Regions from separate parts of the Mus musculus genome. Here regions 1 and 3 are each reported to be linked to region 2. Evidence: microRNA targets listed by miRTarBase, many of them from high-throughput screens and not tested one by one. Region 2 holds a microRNA gene; each other region holds the end of a gene's coding sequence.

What was found. Region 2 holds the annotated microRNA mmu-miR-148a-3p (UCAGUGCACUACAGAACUUUGU, at 2,312-2,333, shown strand). A microRNA usually pairs through its seed, bases 2 to 8, with sites in the 3' UTR of a target mRNA and lowers its output. Matches are read on the target gene's strand: a 7mer-m8 pairs with bases 2 to 8, a 7mer-A1 pairs with bases 2 to 7 and ends in A, and an 8mer does both.
Region 1: miRTarBase lists Ociad2 as a target of mmu-miR-148a-3p. Seed matches in the 3' UTR shown: 7mer-A1 at 1,878-1,884.
Region 3: the mRNA of Ms4a15 is a reported target of mmu-miR-148a-3p. Seed matches in the 3' UTR shown: 7mer-m8 at 4,319-4,325.

Annotation. Positions count from the first base shown.
Region 1 is chr5:73,319,744-73,324,817 of GRCm38, reverse strand. It overlaps Ociad2 (OCIA domain containing 2), which reads left to right. Exons shown (of 7, transcript NM_026950.4): 7 at 971-2,620. The coding sequence ends at 1,052. Among named protein-coding and RNA genes, the nearest start is that of Ociad2, 17 kb to the left of the region's middle.
Region 2 is chr6:51,267,088-51,272,161 of GRCm38, reverse strand. It overlaps Mir148a (microRNA 148a), which reads left to right and starts at 2,252; the gene lies at 2,252-2,350. Gm38821 reads left to right here. Exons shown (of 4, transcript XM_011241556.1): 2 at 752-955; 3 at 1,210-1,882.
Region 3 is chr19:10,974,772-10,979,845 of GRCm38, forward strand. Ms4a15 (membrane-spanning 4-domains, subfamily A, member 15) reads right to left here. Exons shown (of 7, transcript NM_001034898.2): 7 at 3,536-4,554. The coding sequence ends at 4,438. Among named protein-coding and RNA genes, the nearest start is that of Ms4a10, 2.6 kb to the left of the region's middle.

The DNA.
Region 1 (5,074 bases), not on the chromosome of region 2:
GACTTCAACATCTGATTTGTTTGCAACCCCTGACCTTTCCCTTTATGGGTTGCAAGGCCAGCGGGGAAGCATTAGTGTTTACTGACAACTCCAGAGTGGCTCCATCCTGGCAAAGCTGTGTTTTGGAGTCACCTTACGGTGCACTTGGCCCAGGATTCTGATGTGTGTAGGGAAAATAAAGAAAGGCAGTGTCAGCAAAGGAGGCATTGTGATGACTCTTGGTTTTGGAACAATGATGAAACCTACATTTTTCCAGAAGCCATACTTTCTGTTTCAGCTTTGCATTCTATAGCTGTTTCACCCGCCCGCTTCTGGCATGAAAAGCCCCACCGGGGCTGGCACTGGTGTAAGGTAACCCAAGGCTTAGCCCTGTGTGAAAGGCCACTACCCTCTCACCTCAGAGGCAGTAATACACGGCCATTTGCTTTTCTAACAAAGTCAAGGTATAACAAGCTCCAATCAATGTTGCAGTCCAAGAGGCGGTGTGTACTTATTGCTACTTTTTAGGCAAAAGTCTCATCGAAAAACCCCCATAGGCCTCTTCCCAGCCTAGGTCCTGAGCTTTGAGACTACAGAAGTGAGCCACTCACCTGGAATACTTTGTGATTTATTTATTTTTTTGTTGTGGTAGGAATCACTCCAGTGATTCAAGGTCAAAGAGTCACTGTGTTTAGCTTTTGTGTGACTCCAAGCACAAATACAACCATCTGTTTCAACATAAACATTGAATGGTATTTGGATAATAGTAAACTAAGAAACTATTATCCCACTTTAAAAAAAAAAAGGTGAGCTAGTGAACTATAAAATCAGACATTTCTCTGCATTGCTTACTGTGGTAAGATGAGCACTTAGGAAGATAGGAGATGGAAGACACACAGACAGACACAGGCAGACAGACAGACAGGCAGACAGACACAAGAGTTCCAATTGTCAAAGTGTGAGTCACCATCTGTTTCTGCTTCTCTTCTAGGCACTGCCTGCTTACCTGTGAGGACTGTAAAACCAGGCGTGGATTAAGCGAGAAGGCAGGGTCACAACCATCTGCTTCCTAAACTGAGTCTGTGGTTTCCAACCGTTTTTAAACCTCTGACTTTGTACACATTTAAAATTTCAAGTGTACCTTAAAATAATATACTTCTATTGAAACAGAAACCTGTAATTCTCTCACCCCTTTGAAATGCTTGCTGTAGAAGACTCTCGATTGACATGAGCGTGGCATATTCTTGGCTTCCTTGGGAGCTATCACACACTACACAGGAAAGAAGTTACACCCTGCCTTGCTTAGAGCTTCCCGGGAGATCTTTGAATAATAGCTTCTGGGTCTTCTCGCCCACCCCCACCTCCCCCAGTTCGCTCACTCTCATTTAATTTTAATTTTCAGCATTTTAAGTTTTCTGGTAGAGAACAGGAATGAGTGATGTGGAAGTTGGTTGGGAAGTCAAGACCCATAGAAAACTCATTGTCTATGGAACTAGAAATTCAGGAAAGGTTGTGTTTTAGTATTGGACGTCCATTCTGAGGTCTAGAGATGAGTGAGATCTGTAACTGGAAAGCATTTCCTGTGAAAGTGTCACCGTGAAACTGTCACCGTTCAAACCTAGGTGACCCACAGTGTGGTCAATGTGACTTGGTGGCTCATCACAATGGTGGAGCTATAAAAGTGACCATCATCTATCCATAGGTGACCTGCTTGGCCCATGGATCCATTCTCATGGTCAGCACTCAACAGTGGGTTCTTTTACCCATTATTAGTGGCCTCAAATAAAAAAAAGACAACTTCTTAACTTGGTCCCCCAGACAACAGCTTCCTGGAAGGAACACTGTAGGACTGAATTAATTAAAAAAATGAGAAACCCTGGGGCTGGAGAGATGGCTCAGCACTGACTGCTCTTCCAGAGGTTCTGAGTTCAATTCCCAACAACCACATGGTGGCTCACAACCATCTGTAATGAGATCTGATGCCCTCTTCTGGTGTGTCTGAAGAGAGCAACAGTGTACTCACATAAAATAAATAAATCTAATAAAATAAAATAAAAAAGAGAAACTCTGGGAACCTCTGGGATCCGAGGCAGCCAATACAGTGGTGTAAGTTGGATTCCTCCTCCAGCTAAGTCTAGTCATGGGAAGTTTGGTCCTCCCTTTTGAGAACCCTTTGCTTAATTTAAGTTAGCTGAGCACTGTGTGAAAGCTGTCCTTGCATCTTTGCAGCCTCTCAGGAAAATGCTTTGTCTACACATCACCATTTAAATATGGGGTATGTGGGGTGTGTGTATGTGGGGGGAGTGTCTGTGTGTGTGTGTGTGTGTGTGTGTGAGTGCGTGTGAGCACGTGTGTGCATGTGAGCACGTGTGTGAGCGTGTGTGTGCGCGCGCGTGTGTGTGCGTGTGAGCGCGTGTGCACGTGCTTTTACTCAGCACATCTGCAAGCCTAAAGCATGGAGGTAAAAAGGGAAATTTCACTAGAGGTGAAATTTCATTTGATGTGAGATATTTCATTTTGAACATCAAAAATATTTTTGTGTGAACACTGAACGAATTTGCCTGCGTTGATTTTTATATGACATGCCCTGTTTGACAGTCAATAAAATTCTATTTCTGAAAAATCACAAGGCAGAGCCAATACGCTGGCTTTTTCTTCTTTTGTTGTGTTGCAAGTGGAATTCAGGACTTTGTAAGTGCTAGACAAGTGTAGGAGGCACAACGGTCCCCGTGCTCCCAGGTAAGCACATGGAATGTTAATCATACATGGTTGTTCCATCAAAGGGAGGGAAACATACCATTATTTACCCAGAAGGCTGGGGACTGACACAGTTAATAATAGTCTAGTGACCTTTGCACTATGAGGCTAAGACCACACCAGATCCTCCCCCAGGTCCTTATCAAGGGGTTATTTTTTTTTTTTTTTTGCAGCCTATATATAGAACCCATCTATATGTAAGGTGTCACATGTAGTTAATCTATAGAATCCATGTTTATGCACGTGTAGTTTACAAAGAATTTCAATATAGTCACTTCTGATCTTTCTTTGGCTTCCTTTGTTCCTCAAGGAGATTTGTGTACACTTTATAGTGCACAAGTGATTGAGTTATCGCCAGGAACATTTTCATCAAATTGCGCTGTACTTAAATATATCTAAGACAAACTATGAAAGGCCAGACTCCCAAAGTTTGAACCAACACTGAACTTAGTTGTGTTGAACCAAACTACCTTCTCTTCCGTGGATGTTACTCTGCTGGCTGTGGTGGTGGCAGAGACATCTTCCTCACACACACTGCAGACAAGTGCTCTACAATAAACTACATCCCAGACCCTATTCTGGCTTCTCGAATACAGTTTAACTTTTGACTCTGACGAATAGAAGTTAGTGATTAAGATTACGCAGCTCTTGACATCAATTTAGCATTCAACACAGTCCCTTCCTCCATGACAGAAAGGTCCCTCTCAGGAAACAGTCAGTCAGTTACCAATCAGTCTCTGGCTACCAGGAAAAGAAGTGTCACCACCATCAAATAGAAACTCTTAAAAATTGTTGTCATCTTTATATTTCTCATTTAAACTGAGTTTATTGTTTGGGCTGTCTACTTTTTCCTTAGTGGATAATTTGTTCTTTGAGATGCTTAACAATGGTGATCTGTCTTGTAGAGGAATTTTAATGCAGCAATTGGCTGCTCCGGGAAGGGATCGCCTCCAAAGATGATCTAGGTCTATGTGATCTGGCTGGAATAACACACCTTCAATCCTTCTGGCTAGAATATAGACACATCCTTAGTACATACTCTATAACAATGACAGTAAAGTTAGTTGGTAGAAAGAAGTACCCATTTTGAAAGTGACTTCTACGGCTGGAGAGATGGCTCAGTGGTTAAGAGCACTGACTGCTCTTCCAGAGGTCCTGAGTTCAATTCCCAGCAACCACATGATGGTTCACAACCATCTGTAATGGAACCTATGCCCTCTTCTGGCGTGTCTGAAGATAGCTACAGTTCACTCACATACATAAAATAAATAAATCTTTTTTTTAAAAAGTGACATCTAATTGAGGGGCAGATGAAGTAACAAATCAGAGAAAGATTCTACAGAACGAGTTAAAGATATGCCCAATTCTCATGAGGGTAGGAAAAAGAGGTGACTTAGAGAGAGAGAAGTTGAATGCAGTGCAGTGGAGTTGAGTTTGTGCAATTCAGTGCAGGTTAGCAAAGGCAGTTGAAGCCACAAAGAGCCAGAAGATTAGAATATATTGCCAGAGTTAGTTTAAGAACAAGCAGAGCAGCCAGGCGGTGGTGGCACCCACCTTTACTCCCAGCACTTGGGAGGCAGAAGCAGGCAGATTTCTGAGTTCGAAGCCAGCCTGGTCTACAGAGTAAGTTCCAAGACAGCCAGGACTATACAGAGAAACCGTGATTCGAAAAACCAAAACCAAACAAACAAACAAGCAGAGCAGTGGAGCTACACAGAGAAACCCTGTCTCACAAACAAACAAACAAACAAACAACAACAAAGAACAAGCCAAGCAATTCCATGAGAAGCCCGTTTGAATCAGCTTGGAGAAGAGTTTGAGCTGGAACAGCTGAGTTGAACCAGCCACCAGAGTTCAGAAAGAACTAGAACAGAAGAGCTTGTTCAGCAGTGAGTGACCACAATTACATTTGGTAAATAAAAGCTACATTTACATTGGTGTATGAAGCAGTCCACGGGGAGAAACCTTCTGCTGTGGATCCTCAGTACCTGCTAGGAAGCAGGTACCTGGAGAAGTCTGCCACGGTGTTAGGGGCAGTGTCGCCATCTTTTAAACTTACCAATCACCAGCACTCACCATCCATTGGGCCATAAATTTGTGAAAGAACTTTCATGACAGGGGTTGGGGTGGGGTGATTGGATGACAAAAAGCTTGTCAAGGAACAGCAGGTCCCATGTGCAGAGATACACTTGCAAGAAAGTGAGTAAGATAAAGTGGTAAATGCTGTCCCTAGCCAGCCTCATCCAGAGACTTTCTTTCCCTGGAAGATAGAGCATAAGATGTAACCCATTATTGATGCTGCTCAGTTCAGTGTCCTGGTTAAGCTACTGAATGATGA
Region 2 (5,074 bases):
TTTCCAGGTAAGAATCTTCCCATGAAAATGTACCTTTCATTTTCCGTATCATCCAGCCACACTTAAGATGGAAAAAAGAAATGATACAGACGTTTTATCACAAAGAAAAACCAGGCCTGTTCTGAGAAATATCTGTGTTTTAAAAGATGCAGCTCGGTGGCCAGAGGCTGTGGTTTTCACCATAACCTGGGCTCTACCTGTACATTGACATTGCTGTCTTCTCTTTGGGGAGGGTGGAGGGAAGGAAGCCATCTAGTCATGTGGCCTCTCATCAATCCCTTTCTTCTACAAAGCACGCCTTCCTTCATGCCCTCCTCCATGCGTGCTTGGGGAACCACTGACAGATCGTGGATATGGACAATTCTGAGCACCTTGAGTTATACCTCCTTCGGATGCAGGAGACCTTGACTCCAGGTTCCACGCTCCACCCCCCCCCCACGCCCTCCACCCCCGTGCCTAATGTCCAGCAGGGGTCAGGACAGACAGACCGACCTTTGGGTTTGTCCCTGTAGGCGGTACAAAAGAAATTGCTATTTTTGATACTTTCAGGTAGCTGTTGGCCTTTTCTTACTTACAGTGGGCAATGGGCAGCTAATTCAAAAGGATGGCTTTTTAACTTTGATGAATTCTTGATTTAGCTTTGTTCTAGAATTCTCTTACCGAGAATTCCTCTCTCAGTTCTTGTAACACTCAGCCCCGGGGGAGGAGCCAAAGTGTCCTCCTCAAGGTTTCCATTTCTCACTCTGCTTAGGTGGCAGCCTCGTCTTCCCCAACCCAGCAGAGACCCAGACCCGAACTGGGCTCTGGCCTGGCCTAGCGGAAGGGGCTGCGGGCAAAGCTGTGTTCAGCGTCTTGCACACGGGCAGGATGGAGACCACGTCTACCCAGCCTGCCCACAAAGGGCTGAACCCAGAGGCCGGGTGGAGCCGGACTAGGAGCCAGGTGACCACCTGGAGTGCCGCACCCCGCCCGGCTCAGGCTCCGCCCCCACCCCGCCCCTCTGCCTGCCGGCTCCGCCCCCTTCCTCCTGGGGCCCCTTCGTCGTTTATTTGCATAAGGAGGCGGTTCCCCGCCCCGCCCAGCGCGCACGTGACCCTGAGGAGGCGGAGGGAACCTGCTGACTTGACACGAGCCGTTTTGCGGCTCCCCTTGGCGCGGAATAGCAAGAGCAGCCGTGACCTCCGACCCCGCCCGCCGGCAGCCAATAAGAGCGCAGGTCGTCTCCAAACCCAAAATTTCCACGTCGGCAAAAGTCAAGATGGAAGGGAGCGGAGCGGAGCGCCCACTGGAAGCCTAGCTCAGCGGCCCGGGGCGCAGAGGGCCGGGCTGCGGCGTGCGGGGGGCCTTTGGGAGGGCGGCCAGGCCAGACAGGCCGATGCAACCCCCGGCCGCAGCTTCGGAGCTCTGGCCCCGCGTTCTGTCGGCCACGCGCACCAACCGGGCAGGATGGGGACTGCGCTCTGCGGACCTGTTGCACGCGCGCAACAGCTGCTTGCGCGCAGTGTGTGGGGAGGCGTGCGGGACCCCGCACGGTGGTCCGGGCTGGATGGGCTAGGGGCGCCGGGCCTGTGTCGTGGACTGCATGCAGATCGGCTGCGGAGGCGCTGCCTCAGCAGGCAGAGGGAAACCGGGAGAGTGGGTGGGTGGCACCGAGGGGCCAGGGCTGCGTGGACGCGGATTCCCAGACTGTGCGCGGGCAGCTGGATAACCGGAGTAGTGTGGTGAGAATGGCTGGGGGAAGGGGAGGCCGCGAAAAGCCTGGCTTTCCCGGGACGTCCCATCTGCGGGGAAACTGGCTTGTGTTCGCCGGCTTTGACTCCCTGCTCCAGGAATTCGTTCTCATGAGGTCCTCCCCGCCCTCACCAACTTTCCAGATGGAAAGGTAAAAAGTTACCGCAACTTAGATTGAGTGAATTAGCTTCTTGCCAAAGTTTAGTAACAGGACCGGAGGAGGTGGGGGCTGGACCGGCAATGGATTCTTGTGTAGAGTAGGTAGGAAGGAGGGGGCATTGTGTGATTCCACTGGTCCGTTTGCTGTGACATTGCCACCAGAGTCTCTTAGGACACCCTTTCTACTGGATTTTTACTCCTGCTGACTGTGGCAGTAATTTTCCATAATTAACTATCCGTACCACTATTGGTCTCATCCTGGACTAAATTGCTTCTAATGAGTTATTCTTCTTTGCCTTCACTGGGGGCGAGGCGGGATGGCAGGGAGCACACCTGCAGGACGAAACTTCCAGAGGAAGACAGCCAGTTTGGTCTTTTGAGACAAAGTTCTGAGACACTCCGACTCTGAGTATGATAGAAGTCAGTGCACTACAGAACTTTGTCTCTAGAGGCTGTGGTCGCCGCCTCCCCGCAAGGGCCCTGGACGCCAAGCTGGTGGCCCTGTTGGCCACGTCGTTGCACCTTTCCTTTGGGGGAAGGGCAGCCCAGAGGGGGCACAAGGGCTTTGTGAAGAACCTGAAAAACTCCTTTAAAGTCAATGGGTTAGATCACATAAAGTAACTACCCCCCCCCATTTTTCTTCTTACCCTGGTGGACTGATTGCATATTTTTCAAGGTTATTTTTAAAATACTAAAATAGTCTGGCTTCACTTATTGAGCAAGGAGAGAAGGACCACAAGTTTATTGATGAGTGTGTTGGTATGTTCAAACTGTACCCTAAGAGAAGGAAATGCACTTGTGCCAAAGCCACAGGTAATGTGCCTTTTACTCAAATGCCCTGTTAGATAAATGAACCTGCAAGGATTGGGTTTGGATTTAGTTTCAGTTCTGAGTTTGATTTAGGCCCATCTCATTTTCCTTTTTTCTTTTCTTTTTTTTTTTTTGGGGGGGGGGTTGTTAATGGAAAGGAAGTACCTTTTCTAAGAAGGCATTTTGACAGTCATTTATGAGGTCAGTGTTTATACTTTGGAGCTGTGAGATACTGTACAGAGAAACTGCTCTCCTGGACCCTAATGGAATGTGGGTTGTGGCTGGCAGTTGCAGTTAATAGTGCGCTCTACAGTGGGCAGTGACTGGCATTGAACTGTATCCTGCTCCCGGGTCATTGCCCTATTTTGATGTTTATGGGTGTGGCTGGAGAGCGAATAGAGTCAAGGGATTACAAAACCGTCATTAACAAAGGCGCTAACCTGACACATGTATGTCAAGCTGTGACACCTAGTGATGAGCAAAAAGGAATGAAGCCTTCTTTGTTGCTTAGGGACAGCTCAGTCCTGGCAACGTTTGTAGAATGCTTCAGAAGCCCCGAGGTCTCCTGGAGTGTGACTCTGGGAAGTCTTGATCTAAAAAATGAAAATCCACCGCCTTTACTTCTGAGCACATTCCTATTGGAGTAGAGATAATGGGGAAGGGCCAATGGGAAAGTATTGGAGGAAGGACTTGCCAGTTGGCGGCACCTGTCTGGACCCCTAGCCAGGCGCTCTTCTGAGATTGTTAGCTACACCCAGTCTCCTTTCTTCCCACCAGTGACTGTTGAGCTTCATTGCTTCAACTCTCTGCCCAAAAGGTAGCTTAATCTTATTTTTGCAGTTGAATAAAGTGATCCAAATTCGGGTTCTTTTTGTTTTCATTTAAGATATAAGGTAAGCTTCCTGGTGAGGAGGGTTTCTTTCCTGATTTTTGTGAATGAATGTGTTCACAAAATACTATGAAACTACTAATTCTCACAATAGGCAGAACCAACTTTGTATGAGAATGCAGTGGCCCTTTGAGCAGATAAGGTGAAGTATCTGGGAGAGTAGCCATCCATGCAAAGGATTAGGTCAGGACTCTACCTTCAAGAAAGAGCCAGGTTTGGAATCCCTCACTTGGGTTCACCTGGTTTGACCTCATTATAAAAATGATTTGGTGAAAACTCTTGCTTTGGCCATGAGCGGGTTAAAGGGCCAGCCAGGAAGGAAGGCTTTGTGGCTTATCCTAGTGGTGTGCATGCTGGGAGTAGGGTCGAGGAAAACCAGCAGGCTGGGTGTGCTCTGAAGCTGGCATACTCCCACTGACTTTAGATATTGAGCAACCAGAGCCTTGTTACCAACTGAGCATCAGGTGTTAGATGCCAGGGTACAGCTGTGAGCAAAATCGGCTGACATCCGGTTCATTCTGGAGTCCATTCTCATGTTAGCGGTTGGCAATGCCACCATCATCAGGAAGGGTGTTAAGCATGACTGGGAAGAGGGAACAGCCTTTGGGGAAGGCTATGTGTTATTTTAACCCAGCTTGCTGAACCAGAGGGTACTGTCACCAGCACCCCAATTTGCATGGCCCAGGGCCTTCTTCATTTCCAGTAAAATAACTGAAGATGCAGCTGAATTGTATGTCATGGACACCAGTTGCCTGTCAGTACTGAACAAGCGTTTTTATTCGCAAATGCAAAGGTTGGCAACTGTGGGCATGGTTCTGGAAGATACCCACAGAGTGAGGAATTAGAGCATTGTGCCACTGGACCTCAGGGTTTTTTGTTGATAAACTCCAGGATTTTGGGTAACCTTGAATTAAAAAAAAAAGTTCTAGAAGCTCCCTGTGTACTCAGATATTCCTTAAGGACTTTTAAACTTACTTTAATTACCTGTCTGTGGGTATATGCACATGATTATTAATGCCCTAGGAGGCCAGAAGCATGGGTTCCCCCTGGACCTGAAATTACAAGCAGTTGTAAATTTCCCAACATGGGTGACAGGAACTGAAAAGAGCAGTGTCTTAGTTAGGATTTCATTGTTGTGAAGAGACACCACAACCAAGGGACAACATTTAATTGGGACCAGCTTACAAGTTCAGAGGTTCAGTCCATTATCATCAAGGCAGGAGCATGGCAGTGTCCAGGCTGGCATGGTGCAGGAGCTGAGAGTTCTACATCTTCATCTGAAGGCTGCTAAGAGAAGACTGGCTTCCAGGCAGCTAGAACTAGGATCTTAAAGCCCCTACCCACAGTGACACACTTCTTCCAACAAGGCCACACCTACCCCAATGAGGCCACACCTTCAAATGATGCCACTCCCTGAGCCAAGTGTATTCAAACCACCACAAGCAGCATGTGCTTTTAGCCACTGAACCATCTCTCCAGCCTCTC
Region 3 (5,074 bases), not on the chromosome of region 2:
TAATCAGAGATGCATGTCTGGACTAGATCCTTCAAAACCATCTGCTTCCAAACCTGGGCAGGTGAAGATCTGAGTCTCCTTCCTTATGTCTCCCTTTAACAGCTGAGACAGTTAATGTTGCAGTGATGACATTTCAGTTCATGGAGCAGTTCATTGTCAAGTTGGTGAAGGCAGCATTTGAATGAGTTGATTATTAAAATTCTCAAATTTTTATTTGTGTGTGTGTGTGTTGATGTGGGTGGCTGATATGAGTGTGTGATTGATGTGTGTCTGTGTGTCTGTCTGTGTGTCTGTGTGAGTGTGTGTAGGTCAGAGGACTTTGTGAAATTGATTCCTTCTTTCCACCTTTCCACAGTGCTGAGGTCTGAACGGATATTGTCAGGTTGTGCAGTAACTTTAGCTTCTGAGACACCTTTCTGGCCCCTCAAAGAATCTTTTAATTTTTTGAAAGTTAAAGTATCCACAATAGTGGTTACAATGACCCTGCCCTGGGCCTTGTGTCCCTCCTCAAACCAGCCATGGTCATCCTAAGTTCTTGCTTGACTTTGGTCTCTGGTGGTAAGCCAGACAGATGTATTGTCATCTGTGTAAGCATGGTAGTGTTTGTCTTAAAAGGTATGGTCACGTGACCACAAGTAACAGGAAGCCCTGATTGAGAGTGAAGTCCAGCCACCACCAAGCTTGCAGCGCATGTGACTTACAGAGAACTTATATCTAAGGCATGTTTGGATCTTGACCATGGACATGGTGAGATGAGAATGTGTAACTTCAAGCTGTCCAGTCTGTCTCATGCAGAACTAGATAACTACTGTGCTTTTTCTATCTTTTTCCTCTGGTTTTTAAAGACGGAGAATACACATTTAATTGTTAATATTTAATATACATATTAAAGTGTATGCAGCATATGCAGTTAGGTAAATTTGTATGTATATATGTGTATGTTGGTTTATTTGTGTGTATTATTCTCTATCTTACTTTTCTTTCTTTTTTAAAAAACGATTTTATTATTTAATATGTATAATTGTTTTTGTTTGTATGCATGTCTGTGCACCACATGCGTGCCTGGCACTCTCAGAGGCCAGAAGAGGGTGTCAGATCCCTTTGAGCTAGAGCTACTGACAATTGTAACTGCCATGTGGCAAGTGGGTGCTCGGGAGGAATCAAACCTTGGTCCTCTGGAAGAGCAGCCAGTACGCTTAACTACTGCTGAGCTGTCTCTCCAGTCTTCTTACTGTGTGTGTGTGTGTGTGTGTGTGTGTGTGTGTGTGTGTGTGTGTGAGACCACGTGTACACACACAGAGGCACGTGCACACACACAGAGGCACGTGCACACACTAAAGTTAGTGTTATTGACGATGCTCCAAAATGGAATTAACCTGGTTATCCATCAACAGGTAAATCAATTAAACTGATAGAATAAAACAAAAGGTTTATAGTATTGAAAATAATAAAATAAAAATATAAGATGTTACAGATAAATCTCTAACATTTCATTCAGTCAAAAGAGTCAGACACAAAGATACACACATACTATATAATTTCATTTGTGTGATGATTAAAAGCAGGCAGAGCTAGTGATGTTTAAAGAAATAAATAAGAGTCGAGCTTTTTAAAAAGCTTCCCACCTGCTCTGAGCAGAACTGACTCATTGTGGGAATAAGGCCAAGAATTTGTTTCCTTGCCCCACCCACCTTTGATTATTAAGTATAGTCAACAACTGTGGAATGACCAAATAGGGAGCTAAGTAAGAGCCCCTGGGAGTAGTGAGAGCGCCCCCTATAGTTCTCGCACTGAAGTGCCACCCTGTTTGTCATCAGTCAGAAACTCAACCTGATGAAAACTGAGGGGTAGGTAGCCTTGGGGTGTGATTAGGATTAGAAGGCTATGGGGATGAGGGCATAAATGAATCCTAGTACTTTATCAGAAACAGAGAAGAATCAGATTCGCATGCATGATTTTCCTGCCTTTTGTTGAGCAATGCTTTGTGCCACCTTTAGACTCTGCCTGGAGGACAGACTCACCACTGTACGTGAACGTTTGACCTTCAATCTCCAGAACAGCGAGGTAAATAAATCTCTCTCCTTTATTAAAGTTAGGATCCTTGGGTATTTGATAATAGATCGATGCTTCATCCTATGTAAAAACAGAACTCTCTGAGGTTAGGCAAGCTAGGGTTCTCCAACAGAAATTATTGAAGAAATATCTGCCATTATTTAGACTAGGTTTTCTCTCAGATTTTTTAAAAAAAGATTTATTTATTATTATATCTAAGTACACTGTAACTGTCTTCAGATGCACCAGAAGAGGGCATCAGATCTCATTACGGATGGTTGTGAGCCACTATGTGGTTGCTGGGATTTGAACTTCGGACCTTCGGAAGAGCAGTCATCGGTGCTCTTAACCACTGAGATATCTCTCCAGCCCTCTTCTCTCAGATTTTTATCCAGAACCTTTGCTCATTGTCCTGAAACAGAAATGCCTGTTCCCAGATGGTATTTTGAGATCTCTTATTCCTGTCTGTCTCAGCATAAACTTGGTTGTGGTTATTGTGGGTTCTGAGTACTCAGTCAAGATATGAACAGGTTGGAAGGGAATCATGGGAGATGACATCAAGGAACAGTGGGAAAAGCATGAAGCTAATGATGTAATGACGATCTAGATGGTTAGAAAACGGGCATCTGGGGGGCTGGAGAGATGGCTCAGCGGTTAAGAGCACTGACTGCTCTTCTGAAGATCCTGAGTTCAATTCCCAGCAACCACATAGTGGCTCACAACCATCCGTAACAAGATCTGGCGCCCTCTTCTGGAGTGTCTGAAGACAGCTACAGTGTATTTACATATAATAAATAAATCTTAAAAAAAAAAAAGAAAAGAAAAAGAAAAAAGAAAGGGGCATCCGAACCAGACTGAGGTGGGAGGCTGGGCAAATCTGGTAAGACTTTGACGTGCGTACAGTCAGCACATCTTGAATTCATTAGTATTTGTTAAAGCCTACTCGTGATTAATGTCAGCACTCGGCAAGCATGTATGTAAGTTCCGTGTATTGTGGAATCTCATTAGCGTTCTCCTCCGTCCACACGCCGAGTTCAGGCCTCTGAAGGCTTCCTTTGTTCTCTTACTTGCCCATCCTAACTTTCAACCCAAGGTCTCTCATGGAACCTGGGACTCACTGATTCAGATAGATTTGTTGGCCATGCAGGCCCATGGGTTCCTCCACTCTGTGCCTCTCCAGTGCTGGGACTACAGACCCGTGTCACTGTGCCCAGCTTCTCACTTGCATGCTGAGCACAGAGACTCAGGTTCCTAACCACGGAGTCATCTCCCCTGTCTCCACACAAGTTGATTTTCACATATGCAATTACCCATGTGATCATCATCGAATTCAAGGCATGGAGATGTCCCTAACTGTAAGAAGTTACCATATCCTGCCTGCTCTTAATGGGGGTACTTGCCTGAATCTCCGATTAACCATGATTAAGCCCTCAGAAGATCCCAAACTTAAAAAGCAAATGCCACCACATTGAGACCAACTTAAAATCTAAGCCACGCTGTTTATTTTTCTCCAAAGTATAGATGATACAAGCCATATGTCAGGGCCTGTGAACACTGGGCTGAAGTGGTGACTCTCAGGGGCACTCCTGCTTTTCAGGCAGGGTTGGGGGAGTATGGAGTGGTTCAGTCTCCTCTGCAGCCTCCTGTCCTAGTAGGTGGGCAGAGCCAGAGTCAATGCCAATCTTCTGTTACAAATAAGGAGAAGGAGGTTCCGGGGTGGAGAAGAGAAATGCAGGGCTTAGCCAAGAGGTGCTTTTTTTTGGTTTTCGAGACAGGGTTTCTCTGTGTAGCCCTGACTGTCCTGTCCTGGAACTCACTCTGTAGACCAGGCTGGCCTCAATCTCCCAAATGCTGGGATTAAAGGCGTGCGCCATCACGCCTTAGTCTTATGTGGTGTAGTTTAACACTCTAGTTTCCGGGTGGGAAAATGAAATCCCAAAGATGTAACAGCAGATGACAAAGGACAGAGCTGATCTTCGGAGCTAGGAGCCTGGAGGTCAAGCCTTGCTCTGAGCCTCTGAAATGCCAGTCTATTCTGGAACATTCTGAGTTCTCCGTGCTTAATGATCTTGAAGACAAACCTCCGAAACCTCTGCGAAGCCAAGATTTCCCACGATGAGCAGAGGACTGAGGAGGAGTGTACGGGACGTCTATGTCAGGTGACAGGGCTGAGAATGGGCACACCCTGGACACCAGCTTTATGCCTTTTTTGGAAAGACAGTATTGGAGGAACTAGGAAATGGATGGAACATGTCACTCAGTGACACAGTGCACATGGCTTGGAGAGTCTCGCTGGGAAACCGCTGCCTTAGAACGGACAAAGTGAGGGTGGAGAGGCTCTGGGTAAAGTGGGAAGCCTGGACTTCAACCTGCAGAACTTGTAATCTATTCTGATGACTCCTTGGGCATATATGCCACGTTGTCATAGGCAGGAGGTGGAGAGACTGCTGGGCTGGGGATGTTGAAATCCGTGCCAAAGGCATTGGGTAGGAAAATCACAGACTGCAAAGAAAAAAAAAAAAAAAAATCCCAAATTTTGGGTGGCTCTGCGGTCTTCGGGGAGCGTTGCAATAGTGCCACCCCGTGGGTATTCAGAGAACAGCAGCTCTCTCACACAAAAGCATCGTGTAACTGACATGTTAGCAAACATTTTCTAGGGTCAGTTATGAGCTAGGACTTGGACACACTGAAGCTAGCAAAGTAGACAAAACCTCATTTCCCCTAGGGGCTAGTGAGCTGATATTTCCTCTCTGGATAGTCTCTGCTGAACCCGGGGCTTCTATAGTTCTTGCCTGAACATGCTGCTCTCACAGTAGTAGTCACTCACTGGGCTCCTTTAATCTAGTTCATCCTCCTGCTCCAACTTTAAATGGCACCTGCCATCCTCTACATTCTCCTTCCAGGCAAGCCTCTGCGCTATCAGAACCCCCTCTTCCCACTCTCTTCCACCCGCCTCCTATTTTCCCCTGGAAAAATGAGCTTCCACTGAGACATGCTGTCTTTTCTGATGTGTCCATCTGTA